3 linked regions of the Stegostoma tigrinum genome follow. The protein of the gene in region 2 interacts with the protein of the main gene of each other region in a pairwise test. Links are inferred from orthologs where the notes say so. Each region holds a gene or a part of one and is shown on either strand. Other genes may lie near its edges.

The links. The genes of interacting proteins can lie anywhere in the genome.
Region 1: the proteins of mcm10 (region 2) and cep72 interact in a two-hybrid assay, tested with the Homo sapiens proteins (2 studies listed by BioGRID and IntAct). The two-hybrid records come from large-scale screens. The link is inferred for Stegostoma tigrinum from reciprocal best matches to the Homo sapiens genes MCM10 and CEP72.
Region 3: the proteins of mcm10 (region 2) and trim37 interact in a two-hybrid assay, tested with the Homo sapiens proteins (2 studies listed by BioGRID and IntAct). The link is inferred for Stegostoma tigrinum from reciprocal best matches to the Homo sapiens genes MCM10 and TRIM37.

The regions. Positions count from the first base shown.
Region 1 is NC_081355.1:19,602,343-19,609,655, reverse strand, and holds the start of cep72 (centrosomal protein of 72 kDa), read right to left. Parts: upstream 3,067-7,313; 5' UTR 2,964-3,066; intron 1-2,963. UniProt on the Homo sapiens protein: Involved in the recruitment of key centrosomal proteins to the centrosome.
Region 2 is NC_081378.1:4,828,604-4,835,740, forward strand, and holds the start of mcm10 (protein MCM10 homolog), read right to left. Parts: upstream 3,027-7,137; 5' UTR 2,966-3,026; intron 1,718-2,965; exon of another isoform or gene 1,381-1,717; intron 1,072-1,380; exon of another isoform or gene 1,051-1,071; intron 1-1,050. UniProt on the Homo sapiens protein: Acts as a replication initiation factor that brings together the MCM2-7 helicase and the DNA polymerase alpha/primase complex in order to initiate DNA replication. Additionally, plays a role in preventing DNA damage during replication.
Region 3 is NC_081380.1:41,718,687-41,726,187, reverse strand, and holds the start of trim37 (E3 ubiquitin-protein ligase TRIM37), read right to left. Parts: upstream 3,067-7,501; 5' UTR 2,987-3,066; coding exon 2,968-2,986; intron 1-2,967. UniProt on the Homo sapiens protein: E3 ubiquitin-protein ligase required to prevent centriole reduplication. Probably acts by ubiquitinating positive regulators of centriole reduplication.

The DNA of each region.
Region 1 (7,313 bases), on a different chromosome or scaffold from region 2:
ATTACTGTATGTGGAGACAGAGAGAGCTCAGAGAGTCATAGCAGATTCAGTTACCAAAAGGGGTCATATTGTTACTGTAGATGACAAGAGGGTGAGAGAGGGAGAGAACACAGACATTAATATTTCAGGTAGAAAGAGAGTACAGGAATACAGAAAATATTACCCCAGCCAGAGAAAGAACACAATATTACTGTAGCTGAGAGAGCCGACAAACTGTATTGCTACTGGCAAAGGGAAATATTATAGTCAAGACTACAAAATGTAAAATATTTTTGAAGCTCAGAGTGGAAATAAGTATTAATTTTCATTAATTAATCAATTAATTTATGTGCTACTGATAGAATGAGAGGAGATTCATAGGCAATATCACCAGCAGTTTAATTGAGCTGAATGGCCCGTGCTGCATTTATTATGCCTTTCTAAATAAATAGCAGTAGCGCAGAAGAAGAAAAATAGAGAATGTGAATAAATAGCAATAATGGAGGAGAGAATAAATAAAGAACAAAGAGTAAATTCCATCCTTTTGTGTGTCACATTAAAATTAACTACATTATATAACCTCTACATTCAAAGGAACGTAAATCAAGTTTATGCAACAATTCTTCCTTAATGGTTTAAGCCCTAGAATCAACTATGACAATGTCCTTATATAGAAACTATAATGGAACAGGTATTTAACAGGGTTATAATTACACATCAGGCAAAACATGACACATGGGGAGGGCCAAAGACATAGATGCAAAGGAGATATTAGGAGAGGAGACAAAAGTTTTGTCAAACAGGTAAGTTTAAACAAGCAGAGAAAATTACAGTTGGTGGAATTAATTCCAGAGCTTAGGTGGATGAAGATATGGTTGCAAATGGTCAGACAAAAGGAGTAGGAGATGAACAAGAATTTACAAATGGAGGAGTGTTGTAATCTAAGGGGCCTGTCAGAGATAGAAGGGAGAGGGCACTGAAGGATTCAAATATAAGGGTGAGAATTTCAAAACGGGTGTTTCCATGCTGGGAATCAATGTAGATCAGCAAGCACAGGGTTGTTGGATAAACATTGTGTGTTAAGATACGGGTAGCAAAGTTTTCAATAAGTTTAAGCTTATGAAGGGTGGAAGGTCAGCCAGAAGAACACTGAATAGTGGAGTGTGGGAGTAACAAAAGTATGACTGGAGTTCCAGTAGCAAGTAGTCGACAGCAGGGGTGAAGAAAGATATAATGATGGAGGTGAAAGCAGACAGTCTTTACAATGATGAGCTCATGAATCAAAAACTCAGACCAATAGAAAACAGGAAGCTGAGGGCATAAACAACCTGTGCTCAACTGGATACAGTTGCTGGGGTGTAGAGGGAGTCAATGGCAACGCAACATGGCACATGGGGAGACCCAAGGACATGGGTTTTCCCCAGTGCCTCATTGATAAACAATTCTGGTGAACCTGATCTGTGCCTTCTCCAAAGCCAACACTGCTAGATTCACTGCTAGAAGTTCACTGTTTATATGTGATACTTTCGTAAGTGGAATCCTTCAGTGGAAATTAGCAGAAATTTAAATTTAGAAAATGAAATTCTGACTTTTTGTCAAATTATGGTGAACTGGAAGTATTAAATCACCAGCCACCATAGAAAGGTGACAGCACAGTTAAAGGTCATTCAGCTCATCATGTTTGTTTCTGATTGGTTAGTTACTAACATTGACATTCTCAAACACTGTATAGCCAGTTGCGTGGTGCCTCACCTTATTTTTTGTAGCAAAAGTTTGCCTTTAAAAAGTTGTTGCAGCAACTGTGGTAATGTTATTGTTCCATCACCTGTTAATATCACCACACTCGCTATTTATTTCAAATGAATAGTTTCTGGCATTTAAACTTACACGAGTGTTGATAAATTCATAACCAAACTCAAAATGTCCCAAATAAAAGCCAAAAAAACACTGCAGATACTATAAATCAGAAACAAAAAAAATGTTGCTGGAAAAGCTCAGCAAGTCTGGCAGCATCTGTGAAGAGAAATCAGACTATTCATTTTGGATCCAGTGACACTTCTTCAGAACTGATGATAGCTAGGAAATGTCAGTTTATATGCGGAAGATGGGGTGCAGGGGTGTGGTGTGGGTATGGAGTAAACAATATGTTGGGCTACAACCCAAAGAGAGAAGAACAGGTCAAACAGACAAAGGAGTGGATAACGAGCTGGCTAGGAGGTTGAATAGCTATGAAGGGACACTGTTAATAGCTAAACAATAGGTAGCGTGCAATGGCAAACAAATGATGAAGGGTCTAGGCCCGAAACGTCAGTTTTTGTGCTCCTGAGATGCTGCTTGGCCTGCTGTGTTCATCCAGCCTCACATTTCATTATCTTGGATTCTCCAGCATCTGCAGTTCCCATTATCTATGTGACAACAAGGCCTGACATGTGAGGTGGGGGTCTAGGACAGTGGAGAGTTCAGGCCTTTAAATTATTGAACTCCATATTGAGTCCAGAGGGCTGGAGGGTTCCCAAGCAGGAAATGAGGTGTTGTTCTTGTAGCTTGCACTGAGCTTCACTGGAACACTGCAGCAAGCCTGAGACAGAGATGGTGGCCAGGGGACAGGGTGGTGCGCTAAAGTGGCAGCCAACTGGATGCTCAGGGTCTATTTTTTGTGGGACAGAAGACGATGTTCTGAAAAGCAAAGCAGTCAAATGCTTCATTTCCCCAATGTAGAGGGGGAACCACATTGCGAGTAGTGAATACCGTAGACTAGCTTGTGAGAAGTGAAAAATATCCCGCGGGGTGGGGGGGGGGGGCGGTGTTCGAGGAAATGAGACGACTAAAAGTAAATGCAGAATAATTTTAAAATGAAAGGGACTGGTGTGTGAGTATATCATGTACAGAAACTGCAGGTGCCAGAATCCAGCAGTTCACTCCACTGGGCAAATGTAACGTATGAAATGCTTATGACTTTTCATCAGCGACACTAAAGTACTTACCCTGCTCTCAACATCGATCGCCAGCCTCAAGAAAGCTGCACTTTGTACCGAACCTGAGGCTCGGTTTCGTGGCATCAGATGGTTCTTGTTAACAGTTGCATCAGGGCGCTGAAAGATCCTGCAGGAAGCGGGAATCAAGATGACACCAGCTGAAAAGCTTGCAGGATCTGGGTGTGAACAACCCCCAGTGAACAGGCGTCAAAGAGCTGCCCAGCGGGGGCTCAACTGAACTACCCAACACCTTAAACACTGAGACTATCTTATTAACTTGCTCGGGGGCTCTTAATAATGATGGAGAGATTATAAATGTATAGAACGTGTTTGATCATCTGTTATCAGCCATTGGAGTGTATTTGAATGCACTGTTTTTACACGCAGCCCATTCATTGTGTTCAGCAAGCTCACGATAAAAATTAAAATATATTAAAAACTATTAAAGAAAGTTATAAAATAAAATGTGAATTGTTTGCTTTTCATAGTCACCAACCATGGTTTATACAAGCTGCGATAATTTAACGGTATTTCCGGAACCCCACATTTCTTTGTTTCATAATTACACCGTTGTTAGTGTGTGAGGTTAAATCCCTGGATTGTGTTCAGTGAAAGGGTTTACCCACAGATATTGTTCAAACTTGACACCTGATTAATGCTTCGCCGGCACTGCATCCTCAACGCAACGGATCCAGGAATTTTAATCAGGTATAGCCCATCACCCGAGTTTTAGCTTATACTCAATCCCCAAAATTTACAGTAACTGAAATTAAAGGGAAATGACAGAGGTATTCTTCCTGCCAAAAATGGAAAATCTCAATTCACCAAATCACGCTCTTGCACCATCAGGCACGACTGAGGAGAGCGCCTAAGGCCATTCGGTCCCTCGAGACTCGTCTATCATCAGTCATGCAGCGCGGAGGCAGACCTTGGGTTATGCCTAATATAATCCCAAACGAAAGCAGTCCCAATTGTCTGCTCCTGGCACATATCCCTCCAAACCTTTCCTATTCATGACCTTATCTAAGGGTCTTTTAAAGGCTGTAACTCCCACGTCCGCCACTTTCTGAGGAAGTTCACTCCACACGAACCACCCTCTATGTAAAAAAAATGCCGATGGTGTCTTTTTAAAATCTCTCTCCTCACGCCTTGAAAATATAGCTCCTAGAATTGAAATCTCCCATTCTAGTGAAAAGACATCTACCATTAATCCCTACCTATATCTCTCATGATTTTATACACTTCTATGAAGGTCACATCTCAACCTCCCACACTCCAGCAAAAACAGACTCAGCCTATCCAGCTTTTCTTTTTAACTCCAGCCTTCCATACCCGGCATCATCTTGGTAAATTTCTTCTGAACTCTCTCGAACTTGAAAATACCCTTCCTATAACTACAGCACACTGTACTTCAGGACAGGCCTCATCAATGTCCTGTGCAGCCTCCACATGACTTCCAAATTCCTACACCCAATGGACTGAGCAATGAAGACAAGTGTGCTAAATGCCTTTCTAGATACTGGTCTGCCTTCAAAGAACTATGTACATGAACCCCTTTGTCTTTCCGTTCCACAACATTACCCAAGGCCCTACCATTAATTGTATTAGTGCTGCCCCTATTTGTTGTACCAAAGTACAATACCTCACATTTATCCACATTGAACTGCATCTGTCATTTTTCAGCGCATTGACATATTTGATCAAGATCCCTCCGTAATCTTAGAAAAACTTCTTTACTCTTTGCTCTGCTGCAAATTTTGGTGTCATCCACAAACTTACTAATCATGCCTTCCAAATTCTCATCTGCATTGTTTATAGAAACGTCAAACAAAAGATCATGGCTACTCTGCTTGTAACCTCAAGTCCATAAGACATAGGAGTGGAAGTAAGGCCATTCGGCCCATCGAGTCACTCCGCTATTTAAATCATGGCTGATGGGCAATTATACGCCACTTCCCTGCACTCTCCCCGTAGCCCTTGATTCCTTGTGAGATCAAGAATTTATCGATCTCTGCCTTGAAGGTATCTAACATCCCAGCCTCCACTGCGCTTGGTGGCAATGAATTCCACAAGCCCACCACTCTCTGGCTGAAGAAATGTCTCCTCATTTCCGTTCTAAATTTACCCCCTCTAATTCTAAGGCTGTGCCCACGGGTCCTAGTCTCCCCACCTAACAGAAACAACTTCCTAACATCCACCCCTTCTAAGCCATACATTATCTTGTAAGTTTCTATTAGATCTCCCCTCAAGCTTCTAAACTCGAATGAATACAATCTCAAGTCCACTTTCCCCTCTCCTTCTTTGAGTCACTTGTCAATCAAGGTCTAATGTATCACAGGCCTTAAAAATGTTAAATGAATTAATCTGAATAGTTCCAGAGAAGTAGTGGAAAGGATAGCAAAGATGATTCTCGATAGGAGCGAGAGAGATAGGGTAGTTGTCATGGGGGACTTCAACTTTCCAAATATTGACTGGGAACATGATAGTTGGAATACTATAGATGAGTCAGTTTTTGTCCAGTGCATGCAGGAGGGATTCCTGACACAGTATGTAGACAGGCCAACAAGGGGCGAAGCCACATTAGATTTGGTACTGGGTAATGAGCCTGGCCAGGTGTAAGATTTGGAAGTGGGTGAGCACTTTGGTGATAGCGATCACAATTCTGTTATGTTTACTTTAGTGATGGAAAGGGATAGGTGTATACCACTGGGCAAGAGTTATAGCTGGGGGAAAGGCAATTACGATGAGATTAGGCAAGATTTAGGGAGCATAGGATGGGGAAGGAAACTGCAGGGGATGGGCACATTAGAAGTGTGGAGCTTATTCAAGGAAAAGCTCCTGTGTATCCTAGATAAGTATGTACCTGTCAGGCAGAGAGGAAGCTGTAGAGCACAGGCGCCGTGGTTTACGAAGGAGGTGGAATCTCTGGTCAAGAGGAAGAAGAAAGCTTATGATAGGATGAGATGTGAAGGCTCAGTTAGGGTGCTTGAGGGCTACGAGGTACTCAGGAAAGACCTAAAGAGGGAGCTCAGAAGAGCCAGGAGGAGACATGAGAAGTTGTTGGCAGATAGGATCAGGGTAAACCTTAAGGCTTTCTATAGGTATTTCAGGAATAAAAGAATGACGAGAGTAAGATTAGGGCCAATCAAGGATAGTGGTGGTAAGTTGTGTGTGGAGTCAGAAGAGATAGGGGAAGCACTAAATGAATATTTTTCAACAGTATTCACTCTAGAAAACGACAATGTTGTTGAGGAGAATACTGAGATACAGGCTACTAGACTAGGTGGGATTGAGGTTCACAAGGAAGAGGTATTAGAAATCTTACAGAGGATGAAGATAGATAAGTCACCTGGGCTGGATGGGATTTATCCTAGGATCCTCTGGGAAGCCAGGGAGGAGATTGCCGAGCCTTTGACATTGATCTTTAACTCGTCATTGTCTACAGGAATAGTGCCAGATGACTGGAGCATAGCAAATGTGGTTCCCCTGTTCAAGAAGGGGAGTAGAGACAACCCTGGTAATTATAGACCAATGAGCCTTACCTCAGTTGTCGGTAAAGTGTTGGAAAAGGTTATAAAGGATAGGATTAATAATCATCTAGAAAAGAATAAACGGATTAGGGATAGTCAGCACGGTTTGTGAAGGGAAGGTCGTGCCTCACAAACCTTATTGAGTTCTTTGAGAAGGTGACCAAAAAGGTAGATGAGAGTAAACCGGTTGATATGGTGTATATGGATTTCAGCAAGGCGTTCGATAAGGTTCCCCACAGTAGGCTATTGTACAAAATGCGGAGGAATGGAATTGTGGGAGAAATAGCAGTTTGGATTGGAAATTGCCTTGCTGAAAGAAGACAGAGGGTGGTAGTTGATGGGGAAATGTTCAACCTGGAGACCAGTTACTTGTGGTGTACCGCAAGGGTCGGTGTTGGGTCCACTGCTGTTTGTCATTTTTATAAATGACATGGATGAGGGCGTAGAAGGATGGGTTAGTAAATTTGCAGATGACACTAAGGTTGGTGAGGTTGTGGATAGTGACGAAGGATGCTGTAGGTTGCAGAGAGACAGAGATAAGCTGCAGAGCTGTGCTGAGAGGTGGCAAATGGAGTTTAATGCGGACAAGTGTGAGGTGATGTACTTTGGTAGGAGTAACCGGATCCAAAGTACTGGGCTAATGGGAAGATTATTGGTAGTGTAGAAGAGCAGAGATATCTCGGCGTCCAAGTACACAGATCCTTGAAAGTTGCCACCCAGGTTGACAGGGCTGTTAAGAAGGCATACAGTGTTTTAGCTTCTATTAATAGAGGGATCGAGTTCCGGAATCAAGAGGTTATGGTGAAGCTGTACAAAACTCTGGTGCGGC
Region 2 (7,137 bases):
TTCCGACTGTCAACCCTATCCAAGCACGTCATAATTTTATAGACTTCTATCAAGTCTCCTAACAGCCTCTGCTACTCCAGAAAAAACCCTAGGCTTTCTAGCCTCTCCTTATAGCTCATATCCTCTAATGTAGGCAGCATCCTGGTAAAGTGATAATGGGAACTGCAGATGCTGGAGAATCCAAGATAATAAAATGTGAGGCTGGATGAACACAGCAGGCCCAGCAGCATTTCAGGAGCACATAAGCTGACGTTTTGGGCCTAGACCCTTCATCAGAGACGCTCTGATGAAGGGTCTAGGCCCGAAACGTCAGCTTTTGTGCTCCTGAGATGCTGCTGGGCCTGCTGTGTTCATCCAGCCTCACATTTTATTATCTAGCATCCTGGTAAACCTCTTTTGTGCCCGTTCCAAATCCTCCAAATCCTTCCTGTAATGTGGCAACCAGAATTGAACGCAATACTCTAAGCGCAGCCTAGCTAACGTGTTTATAAAGCTGCTATCACTTCCTGACCCTTGTACCTCAATGCCCCAACCAATAAAGGCAAGCATTTCATGTGCCTCCTTTACCACCCTATTCTCTCCAATAGCTTTCCAAACACTGATGTGAAACTCACTGGTCTGTAATTTCCTGGATTATTCCTATTTCTTTTCCGGAAAAGCGGAATAATATTAGCTACTTGCCAGTCCTCTAGGACCTCTCCAGTGGCTAGCGAGGATATAAAGATCTTAGTCAAGGCCCCAGCAATCTCCTTTCTTGCCTCTCTCAATAACCTGGGGTAGATCCCATCAGGTCCTGGGGACTTAACCAACTTAATCTTCTTCACAGACCCAACACCACTTCTTTCTTGATTTCAAAATGCCCTAGTATATTAGCATGCTCCACACTAGTCTCATTATACTCCATATCCTTCGCCTGGGTGAATACCAATGCAACGTACTCATTTAGGACCTCATCCACAACCTCTGCCTCCAACCATAAGTTCCTTCCTTTATCCTGGTCCTATCCTCTCCCTGGTTATCCCCTTATTTTTTAATGTGTGCATAGAATACCTTGGGAATCTCTTTTATCCTACTTGTTGAGGTCATTTCATGGTTCCTCCTTGCTCTTCTAAATCCCTGTCTGAGATATTTCCTGCTTTCTTCATATTTTGGCTTCATAATCCTTACATATGCTTCTCGCCAACTTTTAGGTACATTTAAGTCGTCATTGGACAAGCGTATGGATGTACATGGAATAGTGTAGGTTAGATGGGCTTGAGATCGGTATGACAGGTCGGCACAACATCGAGGGCCGAAGGGCCTGTACTGTGCTGTAATGTTCTATGTTCTTTCCTTTTTGACTAAATTCACAACTTCCCTCATTATCCAGGGATTCCTTACCTTGCCATCCTTTTCCTTCTTCCTTATGAGGAACATAATCTGCTCAGTGGATCTTGAAACAACTCCCACATAAGAAATGTAGACTTGCCTGGTAACAGTTCCTCCTAATGCACTCTCCCTAGTTTCTGCCTAATACTAACGTAATTTTCCATCCTCCAGTTTAGTAGGTCCTAACTTATTCATGCCGATCTTAAAACATAAGGGGTCGTGATCAATGTTTCCCACTGAAAGGTCATTCATTTGGCCAGGCTCATTAGCTAATACAAGGTCCAGAATGGACCTCCTCTAGTTGGACGTCCATATATTATTTCAAGAAGTTTTCTTTGATGTACCTAACAAATTCAGCTCCATCTAAATCTCTTCCTCTAAGACAGTTGCAGTCAATCCTGGAGAAGTTAAAGTCATCCACTATGACAACTCTGCATCTTTCCCTAATCTGCCTATATGTCTACTGCTCAGTGTCTCGGTGGCTGGGGTTTATAGTATAATCCTATCAGAGTGATCGCACCTGTCTCAGAATCCCTACAGCACGGAAGCAGGCCATTTGACCCAATGGGTCCATCCTGATCCTCCGGAGAGCATTCCATGTAGACCAAACTCCGATAAAGTGGAATCAAGGGTTATGGGGATAAGGCAGGAACAGGATACTGATTGTGGATGATCAGCCATGATCATAATGAATGGTGGTGCTGGCTCAAAGGACCGAATAGCCTACTCCAGCACCTATTGTCTATACCTATCCCTGTAACCCTGCATGTCCCATGGCTAGCCCATCTATCCTGCAGGGATAATAGGAACTGCAGATGGAGAATCCGAGATAATAAGGTGTAGAGAGTTAGGCCCGAAACGTCAGCTTTCCTGCTCGGCCTGCTGTGTTCATCCAGCTCCACACCTTGTTATCTAGCCTGCACATCCCTGAACACTATAGGGCAATTTCCCACGGGTAATCCACCTACCTTGCACATCTTTGGACTGTGGGAGGGAACCGGAGTACCCAGAGGAAACCCATGCAGACACGGGGAGAATTTGCAAACTCCGCACAGACAGTCTCCCGAGGGTGGGATCAAACCTGGGTCCCTGGTGCTGAGAGACAGCAGTACTAACCACTGAGCCACGGTGCACACCTAAGGCCTCCAGTATGCCCTCTCGAGCGTAACTATGAGATTCTCCCTCATTAGTAACACAACTCCTCCACCTTCCTGATTATCTGGTCAAAAACAGCAAAACCCTGTAATGAGAAGCAGCCAGTCCCGTCCCCCCTCTCAGACAAGTCTCTGTAATGGCCACCAGCCCAGCTTTAGTGGGGCATTTACAATGGTGAAACATTGTAGAATGACAGCAAGGGGCACGCCAGGCCCTAGCAGCACCAGCACCGCCCTCACCCCCGCTCTGTCCCTGAGGAGACTGCCAGGCGGTTCCCGCACGGTGGAGAATCCCCTCCCCTCCCCTCCCCGGGCGAGCCCAGTGGGTGTCTGCTGTCTCTCTGTATGCCCCGGTTCATCGCCGGTGTTTATGACAAACACTATCCCTTTCTATTAAACCTATAACAGCCCCTCACTCCCTACCCAGGGGCCGCCACTTTTACCTCAGGCTCCAGCTCCCGGTTTCCGCTTGTTCCGCGTTCGCGCCAAAACCTTAAACAGCGTCACCCACTGACGTCATCACGCTGCAACTCCCACCCCCTCCCAGACCCGCCTCAGGAGGGGCTCGACCACCCGGGGACTGGATCACCGAGCGCGGGGATCACCCGGGGGGGCTGGATCACCGAGCGCGGGGATCACCCGGGGGGCTGGATCGCCGAGCGGGGGGGGGGTCACCCAGGGGACTGGATCGCCGAGAGCAGGGATCACTCGGGGACTGGAACACTGACAACGCGGACCACCCGGGGACTGGATCACCGAGACAGCAGATCATCCAGGGACTGAATAGAGCATTACAGCACAGTACAGGCCCTTCGGCCCTCGATGTTGTGCCGACCTGTCATACTGATCTCAGGCCCATCTAACCTACACTATTCCATGTACGTCCATATGCTTATCCAATGACAACTTAAATGTACCTAAAGTTGGCAAATCTACTACTGTTGCAGGCAAAGCGTTCCATTCCCTTACCACTCTCTGAGTAAAGAAACTACCTCTGACATCTGTCTTATATCTTTCACCCCTCAATTTAAAGCTATGCCCCCTCGAGCTCACTGTCACCATCCTAGGAAAAAGGCTCTCCCTATCCACCCTATCTAACCCTCTGATTCAATGTTTCAATTTAGTTACCTCTCAACCTTCTTTCTAACGAAAACAGCCTCTCCTTGTAAGACGCTCCCTCCATACCAGGCAACATCCTGGTAAATCTCCTCTGCACCCTTTCCAAAGCTTCAACATCCTTCTTTTAATGCGGTGACCAGAACTGTACGCAATACTCCAAGTGCGGCCGCACCAGAGTTTTCATCAGAGAGCTCAGATCACCCAGGTATTGGAATGCTGACAGCACAGATCGCCTAGTGAGTGGATCACTGAAAGAGCAGATTGCCTGGGGTTTGGATCACAGAGACAGTGGGTTGCATGGTGGGTGGATCCACCAATTGAGCAGATTGCTCTGGGGAGTGGAAGCATCGCAAGAGCAGATCACTAAGTGGATCACCCACGGACTGGATCAGAGAGATCAGTTCTCCCAGCGATTGGATTTACCAAGAGACTGGGTCTCCAAGAGTGTGAAACGTTGTGGATCGGTTACCTGATGAGTAGATCAGCCAAGTGAGCAGGTTAACCAGGAATTCGATGGGCTGAAAGTTGACTAGAGAGAGTAAATAGCCTAGGACAGCAGATCAACTTTGGACCAGAACATAAGGAGAGTAGATGACCCAAGCAACAGCATCACCTAGGGACTCGATCACACGAGGCCTATGTTCCGGAGGAGGAAGTGGCTTATCGGGGAGTGAATCGTCAGGAGACTGGGGAAAGCAAATAATCCGTATACTGGATCACCAGGAACATGTTAGACCCTGACTGGATCATCCAGACACAGGATCACTTGGGGCATGGATCAGTCTGGGTTTTGTTTGGACACGGCATCACTAGGGAGTGGATCACATGGGCAGTGGAATGCCTGGAGACTGGATCACCAGGAGAGTGGGTGAATTGTCACCTGATCACCTAGGTTCTCAAACCAGCAGAGTGCAGGTCATTGAGAGTGGATCACACTTTGTTTGAAAACGACATGACATATACTCAAATTACATAATGGAACAGAGGCAGATGATCATACAGAATGGTCACAGAGACGGGTTCAAAGAATAATAGGAACAAAGATATTGGTCCAGAAATTGCAATCAAATTCTGCAAACTACTTGCAACTTCCCGTCCAAACCAGTGACCACATTGACTTGGAAATATATTGTCGATCCTTCAGATCAAAATTCTATGACACCCTCCCTAAGGGCATTGTGGGTCTATCTTCAGCATGTGGATCGCAGTTCACGATGGCAGCTCACCTCCACCTTCTCAAGGAGCAAGTACAAATGGGCAATAGATACTGGCCCAGCCAGCAAGGCTCAGATCCCAGAAGTGAATTTTAAAAATTCAGTATCCCTATTATCGACCTTGATCAGATTAAAAAAAATACAATATAGATTCTAGTCTGCAAATTCCCATACAGGACACTTCTGGTTTCAAAACAATGGAACTCTGATCATTAATGCTTGGAGCCAGCAGAGAGGATTGTTATCAAAACCATGCTCCATTTTCCAATATTCAGTGTTCTGTGACTTAAAACAAACAGCAGCATAGCCAATGCTGTGAATGAGTGAGCACGTAAGCTAAAGGTGGAGAAAGAGAACAGCTACATGGGTCAGGGTTGGGGAGAGGGGAAGAGGAGTTTGGTAAGGTATAGGGTTGGCGGGGGGGGGGGGGGGGCAGCAGGGTAAGGATGGGTAGGATTTCAGGTAACTGGGTGTGTGGAAGGTTTGGGTGAATGGGTCTTGTAGGGAGTGGGACGGAGTTGGACCGAGGGGGATTGTCACGCGGGCCTAGCAGTCAGGCCTGATTTATTTCTGGAGATGAATGGCATCAAGAGATCAGGGAAAGTGGGACTGAGGTGGATTATCAACCATGATTTAACTAAATTATGTAGCATGCTGAATGGCCTCTTGCTATTTGTGATCATATGGAGTAGATCTCACAGATTAGATCATGAGAGACAAGATAGCAGACTGAATCGCAAGGATCATAAACTGGATCATGCTAAATCACAGACACTGGGCCATGTGTGATCATATGGACTGGATCAGAGACTGAATCACAGTAAATCCCAAAATTAATTGTAAAGGATCCCAGACTTGATTTATTAGAGTGGAAGACATAGATCATATAAAGTGGATCCACAACACAGCACAGAAATTTAAACATCAAATCACAGGCTTGCTGTTGCAACTTCTGTCTGTCCTCTTAGCAGTTTAGTTACAGGCACTGAACAGAGATATACTGCATATACAATTAATTGCACCTTCCCTGATGCATGAGCAAAATACCTACACAATTAAGTAGCAAGTGATTGCAATTTGAATAAAAAGTTGACTTTTATACAATATCTTTCTTGACCACAAGACCTTCCTAAAAGACTTACAGCATACAAAGTACTTTTCAAGTGTAGTCACTGTTGCAGGAAACGTAGCTAATTTGCACAAAGAAAGCTCACACAAATAATATGATGAGCAGATCATGTATTTTGACAAAAATAATTGAGTACTTTGGAATTCTTCTTAGTTTAACACAAATTTCTAAATCTGCCACCAAATGTTAGGGAGGAGGAAAATGTTGGATAGTCAGTTTGAGGGGCACTGTCACAAATTTCAGGATACAAATTTGCAGAATAGATATAACTGGAAAATTGGAATTGCTGTGTGCAAAAATTACAAATATTAGAACCTGGCAAGAAAAGTAAGCAGATTGGTTATTGCCTAAAGAACAAGAATCTGAATTGGGTTGATGAGCACGGGGAAGAACAAGTACACAAGTCGCTATAACTGGTAACATAGGACAACAAAGTCATAGGCAAAAAACAAACCAAGCACCAGGATTTATGTATTGAGGGAAGCAACGCACCACAGATGCTAGACATTTGAGACACAACATAAAGGCTGGAGAAACTGAGCAGGAAGCATCTGCGTAGAAAGAAAGAGTTAAAAGGAGCAAGACCAATTATTCCTCTTCGGAACTCTGGAGTGGTGTCCAATACTGGGCTTTCTATATAAAGACATAAAAACAGTGGAGAGGGACAAACCTGAGGGTGAGGAGTGGATGAACAGGCTGGCTAACATTTCTCTTGAGAGAAGCTAAAGAGAGCCCCCATGGAGGTCTTTAAATTATGAGAAGCATTCATAAAGTAGCTGTGAACAGCCTGTTTCTTCTTGAGGGAGAACCTGAGAGAACAGGGAAAACCTGGAGGTCAATACATGAACTTAAAAAGGGAGTCTAGAAGCAAAACTTATACTCTCAGATGTGAGAAGGTGAAACTAACTTCCACAGGGAGTAGCTGAAGTGAATAGTATAGAATTAGATAAGCATGAAGGACAAGGGGAGGATGAATGTTTATGGAATTTGGTGAAGACAGACAAGAGGAAGCTCAAATGGAACAACCAACCAGCAGAGACTAGTTGGGCCAAAGGACCTGTCTTTGTGTTGTCCTCCTAACAGTGACCATTTTGGGGCTGGCAGTGGCTTACTGGTATTATCATTGGACTGTTAATCCAGAGATCCAGGTGAT
Region 3 (7,501 bases), on a different chromosome or scaffold from region 2:
GAACTGCAGTGTTTCAAGAATGCAAATCACTACCATCTTCTCCAGGATAATTAAGGATGAGCAATAAATGCTACCTTTGGCAACAAGATTATAAAATGATAAAAACAGTAAAATTTTATAATTCACAAGTTACATTTCAGCTAAAATTCTCTGATTCTGAACTGCACACCCACAGGTAGGATGCCAAGGTCTTGGATAAAATACAAAGATTTATTAGAATAGTACCAACAATAAGACTTCAATTACATAGAGTCTGGAAAAGCTGTTGTCAATATTAGAACCGAGGTTAAGGGGAGATTTGATGGAAGTTTTCAAAACTTCAAGAAGCATTAACAGTTTCTCTTTATTTACAGTACTGGAAGTCAGGCTGAAGATAACTGGTCAAAGAAGATGAAAAGAGACACATTAAACTAATATGAAATTCAATGCTGGAATGAATGGTATCAGGAAATTCAATTACAGCTTTCCAAAGGAAATGGTTTATATACTCAAAAAGGAGAATTACAGAGCTGTTATAAAAAAGCAGGCAGAGACTAACTGGAGCTACTTTCAGAGAGCTGGCAAAAACATACTGTACAATTCTATGTGTACAGCTGGATGAACACAGCAGGCCAAGCGGCATCAGAGGAGCAGGAAGGCTAACATTTCGAACCGAGACCCTTCTTCAGAAATGGGAGAGGGGAAGGGGTTTCTGAAATAAATAGGGAGAGAGGGGGAGGCGGACAGAAGATGGACAGAAGAGAAGATAGGTGGAGAGGACACAGACAGGTCAAAGAGGCGGGGATGGTGCCAGTAAAGGTGAGTGTAGGTGGGGAGGTAGGGAGGAGATAGGTCAGTCCAGGGAGGACGGGCAGGTCAAGGGGGCGGGATGAGGTTAGTAGGTAGGAGATGGGGGTGGGGCTTGATGTGGGAGGAGGGGATGGGGGGGGAGGGACAGGTTAGGGAGGTGGGGATGAGCTGGGCTGGTTTTGGGATGCAGTGGAGAGAGGGGAGATTTTGAAGCTTGTGAAGTCCACATTGATAACATTGGGCTGCAGGGTTCCCAAGCAGAATATGAGGTGCTGTTCCTGCAACCTTCGGGTAGCAATGTTGTGGCACTGCAGGAGGCCCAGGATAGACATGTCGTCTGAGGAATGGGAGGGGGAGTTGAAATGGTTCACGACTGGGAGGTGCAGTTCTTTATTGCGAACTGAGCATAGGTGTTCTGCAAAGTGGTCCCCAAGCCTCTGCTTGGTTTCCCCGATGTAGAGGAGGCCACAACGGGAACAGCGGATGCAGTATAGCACATTAGCAGATGTGCAGGTGAACATCTGCTTGATGTGGAAGGTCTTCTTGGGGCCTGGGGTGGGGGTGGGGAAGGTATAGCACTTCCTGCGGTTGCACGGAAAAGTGTCAGGTGTAATGGGGCTGGAGGGGAGTGTGGAGCAGACAAGGGAGTCATGGAGAGAATTGTCCCTCCTAAAAGTAGAAAAGGGTGGGGAGGGAAAAATGTCTGGTGGTGGGGTCAGATTGCAGATAGCGGAAATGTCAGAGGATGATGCGTTGGATCCAGAGGTTGGTGGAGTGGTACGTGAGGACAAGGGGGATTCTGGTTTGGTTGTTATTGCAGCGACGGGGTGTGAGAGATGAGTTGCGGGAAATGCGGGAGGCATGGTCAAGGGCGTTCTCAACCACTGAAGGGGGGGAAAAATAGCAGTCCTTGAAAAACAAGGACATCTGAGATGTATGGGAGTGGAACGCCTCACCCTGGGAGCAGATGCGGTGGAGGCAAAGGAATTGGGAATAGGGATGGCATTTTTGCAGGAAGGTGGGTGGGAGGAGGTGTATTCTAGGCAGCTGTGAGAGTCAGTGGGCTTGAAACAGATATCAGTTTCTCGGTGGTTGCCAGAGATGGAGACAGAGAGGTCCAGGAAGGAGAGAGGTATTAGAGATTGCCCAGGTGAATTTAAGGTTGGGGTGGCAGGTGACAGCAAAGTGGATGAACTGTTTGAGCTTCTGGTGGGAGCACAAGGCGGCACCAATACAGTCATCAATGTAACAGAGGAAGAGGTGGGGTTTAGCGCCAGTGTAGATCTGTCCGATGAAGGGTCTAGGCCTGAAACATCAGCTTTTGTGCTCCTAAGATGCTGCTTGGCCTGCTGTGTTCATCCAGATCCACACTTTGTTATCTTAGATATGGAAGAGGGTTTGTTCCACGTAATCTACCAAGAGGCAGGCATAGCTTGGGCCCAGTGGGTAACCATGGCCACACCCTTTGTCTGTAGGAAGTGGGAGGAATTGAAGTCGTTGAAGGTGAGGACAAGTTCGGCGAAGCAGATGAGGGCGTTAATGGAGGGCGACTGGTCGGGCCCACGGGACAGGAAGAAGCGGAGGTCCTTTAGGCTATCTATATGGGGCATGCAGGTGTAAAGGGTCTGGACGTCCATATTAAAGATGAGGTGTTGGGGGCCAGGGAATTGGAAGTTCTGGAGGACGTGGGTGGTGTCACGGGCATAGGTAGGGAGTTCCTGGACCAAGGGGAGAAAATGGAGTCGAGATGGGTGGAGATGTGTTCGGTGGGGCAGGAGCAGGTGGAGACAATGGGTCCCCCTACCGCATCCAAAAACCAGCCCAGCTTGTCCCCGCCTCTCAAGCCCCATCTCCTACCTATTAACCTCATCCCACCCCCTCGACCTGGCTGTTCTCCCTGGGCTGACACATCTACTCGCCACCTACACTCACCTTTACTGGCTCCATCCCCACCTCTTTGACCTGTTTTCTCTCCATTCATCTTCTATCTGCCTCTCCCTATTTATTTCAGAACCCCCTCCCCCATTTCTGAAGAAAGGTCTAGGCCCAAAACATCAGCCTTGCTGCTTCTCTGATGCTGCTTGTCCTGCTGTGTTCATCCAGCTCTACAACTTGTTATCTCAGATTCTCCAGCATCTGCAGTTCCTACTATCTCTGTACATTTCTATGCTTACTCACGTATTTGCAGACAACCCATTTCCCAGGCACACTGGGTGCACTAGTGGATTCATCACTAATTCCCGAATTAATGCAAGGCTGAGTGCAGACAGTACGGGCTGGGTAGGTACAAAGCACAACTGAATGCTCTTGTTTCTGTTTTGGCAACACAATCCTTCCTGAGCAGGAAAGAACAATGCAATGAAAATTGATTACTAACACTGAAACCGGTTTACACTGGAAATAAAAAGAAATGGAATTCCACATTCCTCGGCTATTCGACAATTATAGAAAACAATTAAACATACAGTTGAACTCACAGGCAGTCGTCCCATTCAGGGTAAAACGCAATAACGATGCTGCTGGCCCCTGGTCGGCGTCACTGCGGCTCTTCCTGCTCCTGCGAAGAGTAATGTTATCCGTAAGGCCTGTGTATGAGTGTAGGGGGATGTATGCAGGCCTCTGTGTTTGTCGATCTGCGGCCTACAGTGGGTGCACAGTGAAACCACTGACCGGCTGCGGTACATCTGACGGCAGATCCGGTCGCTCCTGACTGTCGCCCCTCACCACTTTTCAATTTTTTTGCTGTTTATTTTTCCTCTGCATCTCTGTCACATTATTTTCTTCTTCACGCTAGACTAGATTATTCATTCACCGATCGCTGTTTTGTTTCTTTTGCGCCTCATGTTTTTTTTTCCATCCCCCTCCCCCAACTCCGCGCCTCTTCAAATCGGCAGGCGACCGTTTGGTCACCCGGGAGACGAGGCAACCAATCGGGAAGCGGGCAGCTCGAATCCCGCCCCCCCACCACAGTGTGGTCACGCCCACTTCCGGTTACAACGTGTGGGGCGCTGCGGGGGACACGGCCCAATCAGCCATCAGGCCCGCTTTTTCGAGTTGACCAATCACAACGTGTTGCTGTTTAGAACGCATCCTCTCCCCGTCCTTCCAGGCCAGAGGAGCTATCGCGATAATTTTAGGCCGTTTCCCATAGCTACGACAATTGATGTGTCCAAGGCTACTAGCGGACGGGAAGGAATACAGTCCCTAACGACGAAGCGCGTGCAGCCCAGCTGGTGAAAGTTATACTGAGACTCAAGATAATAAAATGTGAGGCTGGGTGAACACAGCAGGCCAAGCAGCATCTCAGGAGCACAAAAGCTGACGTTTCGGGCCTAGACCCTTCATCAGAGAGGGGGATGGGGAGAGGGAACTGGAATAAATAGGGAGAGAGGGGGAGGCGGACCGAAGATGGAGAGTAAAGAAGATAGGTGGAGAGGGTGTAGGTGGGGAGGTAGGGAGGGGATAGGTCAGTCCAGGGAAGACGGACAGGTCAAGGAGGTGGGATGAGGTTAGTAGGCAGGAAATGGAGGTGCGGCTTGGGGTGGGAGGAAGGGATGGGTGAGAGGAAGAACAGGTTAGGGAGGCAGAGACAGGTTGGACTGGTTTTGGGATGCAGTGGAGGGAGAGGGGAAGAGCTGGGCTGGTTGTGTGATGCAGTGGGGGGAGGTGACGAACTGGGCTGGTTTTGGGTGCAGTGGGGGAAGGGGAGATTTTGAAACTGGTGAAATCCACATTGATACCAGAGATAATGGGAACTGCAGATGCTGGAGAATTCCAAGATAATAAAATGTGAGGCTGGATGAACACAGCAGGCCAAGCAGCATCTCAGGAGCACAAAAGCTGACGTTTCGGGCCTGGACCCTTCATCAGAGAGGGCTCCTGAGATGCTGCTTGGCCTGCTGTGTTCATCCAGCCTCACATTTTATTATCTTGGAATTCTCCAGCATCTGCAGTTCCCATTATCTCTGATACTGAGACTCAATCCGCTTTGTTACAGGAACTAAATTTCACAAAGACTTAATTTAAAAGGAGGATTTACATTTCCTTAAGCTTACGAAGAGGGTGATGTGTTTTCCTTTTTCCTCCCAGAGAGTCATACTTAAAAGCCAAATGTTTTGTCTCTCCTTTTCCACAGATGCTGCTGAGTTTCTCCAGTATTTTTTTCATGTCCGGTTGTAAATCCATTTCATTACGTTATAATAAAAACAAGGTACTGGCGGATGCTGGAAATCTTAAATAGTTTTAATTCATTCTATGAATAAGTAGTTTCAGAATAAGCGTTCCGATGTAGTCAATATCGGGCTGGAAACGTTACCTCCCTTTTTTTCTCACCACAAATACTTTCAGACCTGCTGAGATTGGCGTTTTTCGTTTTTATTTCAGATCGCCAGCATCCGCCGTATTTTGCTTGTAACCAGTGTTCAGTTGCCAACAGCAATTAATGCGGAGATTCATTACAGAACATTACGACGAGGATGCTGCATATACCTTGGCACACCTGAGTTTTTCAGAGCCTGTTGATGAATACGCTTAGAACCACAATCACTGTAGTAAATCTCCTGACAGAAGGTTAAAACAGATCACAAATCCAAGCGACAAAGGCATTTGGCGGTACTTGTCGTGTATTTCTGCGTCCTATAGACTGGGCAGGCCAAATTCAAGCCCTGTGAGCATGAGCTGTTCTGGAAACAGGCTCTACAATCATCATTGCCTATTTCTCTTTTGTGTCATAATTGTCAGTCAGGTGAGATACCAGAGGTGTGCAGGTACCTGTGTGCATGAATCAGTGCCTTTAGGATAAGAATGAATCAAATGGCAGACAATGGAAAGATTTTAAAAGCTGAAAAATCCTCACTTAAACTTTCCCGAAAACACCAACCTTTTAAATGACCTGCCTCAACAACTTTCTCTGTCAGCCCATTCCATATACACACCACTCTCTGCCCCTCAGGTCCTTCTCAAATCTTTTCCTCTCTCACCTTAAACCTATGCTCTCCAGTTTTCAATTCCTCATCCCTGGGAAAGAGACTACATGCATTCATCCTATCTGTGCCCCTCATGATTTTATATATCTTGATAAGATCACCTGTCATTCTCCGATGTTCCAAGGCCTATCCTGGCCAACTTCTCCCTATCTCTGAGGCCTACTATGGGCGGCATGGTGGCTCAGTGGTTAACACTGCTGCCTCACAGCACCAGTGACCAGGGTTCAACTCCACCCTCGAGTAACTGTCTGTGTGGAGTTTGCACATTCTCCCAGTGTCTGCATGGGTTTCCTCTAGGTGCTCCAGTTTCCTTCCACTGTCCAAAGATGTGTAGAGTAGTTAGACTGGCCAGGCAAAATTCAGGGATGTGTAGATTAGGTGGGTTATAGGGGTGTGGGTCAGGATGGGAGGCTCTGCGGGTTGGTGTGGACTTGTTGAGCCACAGGGCCTGTTTCCACACTAGGTAATTTTATGATTCTATTGTTTCATTACATTCAGAATGATCTGGGGAATGGAAGGTACCTTGTAAATGCAGGCTTCTTCAATCATTTATGTGACAAAAAAAATTGTAGTTTATAAATCATTCAGATCAATCCAAAATTTACTTCAGGTTGCGGTGGCCGAGATATAAAACGTGTGCAGGGCATAAAAGTCCATTGAACTAGAGTTAGTCAAAAATCTTGACACGTATATGCCAGTGGCTTCTCCTGGTGATCGGTGGCAGCAGCAGCTGCAACAAAGCTGATCGGTGGAGCATGTTTCCGGAGGAGACAAGAAAAACTGCAGATGCTGGAATGCAAGGCAGACAGACAGGAGGCTGGAAGAACACAGTAAGCAGGGCAGCATCTACAGGAAAGGCACAGTCAATGTTTCGGGTATTACCCTTACCTCAAGAGTAATACCTGAAACGTCAACTGCTGCTTTCCTCCAAATACTGCCTGGCTTACTGCGTTCTTCTTTCTTCCAGTTTGTCTACCATGTCTCCACAGGAGGTTGACACAGTCTCCAGGCCAGGCCAGGGCTAGGTACAGGAAGATAACACTTTTAAGATCTGGATGTTTTCCTTTTCTTTTATTCTTTCGCTTTTTAAAAAAAATTCTGCTTTTGTATTTTAAGATAGCAACTTTGTAAACTTTCCACTGTACTCCTATATTCCTGTGCTTGATAAAATCTAACTCTAACAATGGTTTGGTGTTAAGGCCTGATCAGAAACTATTCCGATCAAGTTTATTGTTTAAGTTTTAACTGTGAACAAAGGTGAACTTGCGAACTTGTTGAATGAAAGTGATTGCTGTTGCAGCCAGAGATTGGTGTTCACACTTTTACCTAGTTAAGCGCCATAAATTACTTATATTATAATTTCCTGACCTTCAAAAGACATTTAAAAATAAAAGCTGAACTTCAGTGGAAATCTGCCCTCTGTCAGCCCAGAAGAATTGTACATATTTTGTAATACCAATAAATTGCAGGAGGAGTGGGTTTCAGCATTAAATTTCCTATTAACCTGCCTGTTTCCCCGAGAGCCTCTGCAGAGTGAATCATCCACAACACTTCCCATCAGAGACTTGATTTCAAAGTTATTGGAACTGACTTCTATTGTTTTGAAAATATTTATGCATTAAATCTACTGTTGAACTTCTAATTTCTTGTTGTGTGCTTCTACTTATATGTAGTTAATCTGTTTGAATTATTAGCTAAAATTACTCATTTAGCTCGAACACAGCCAT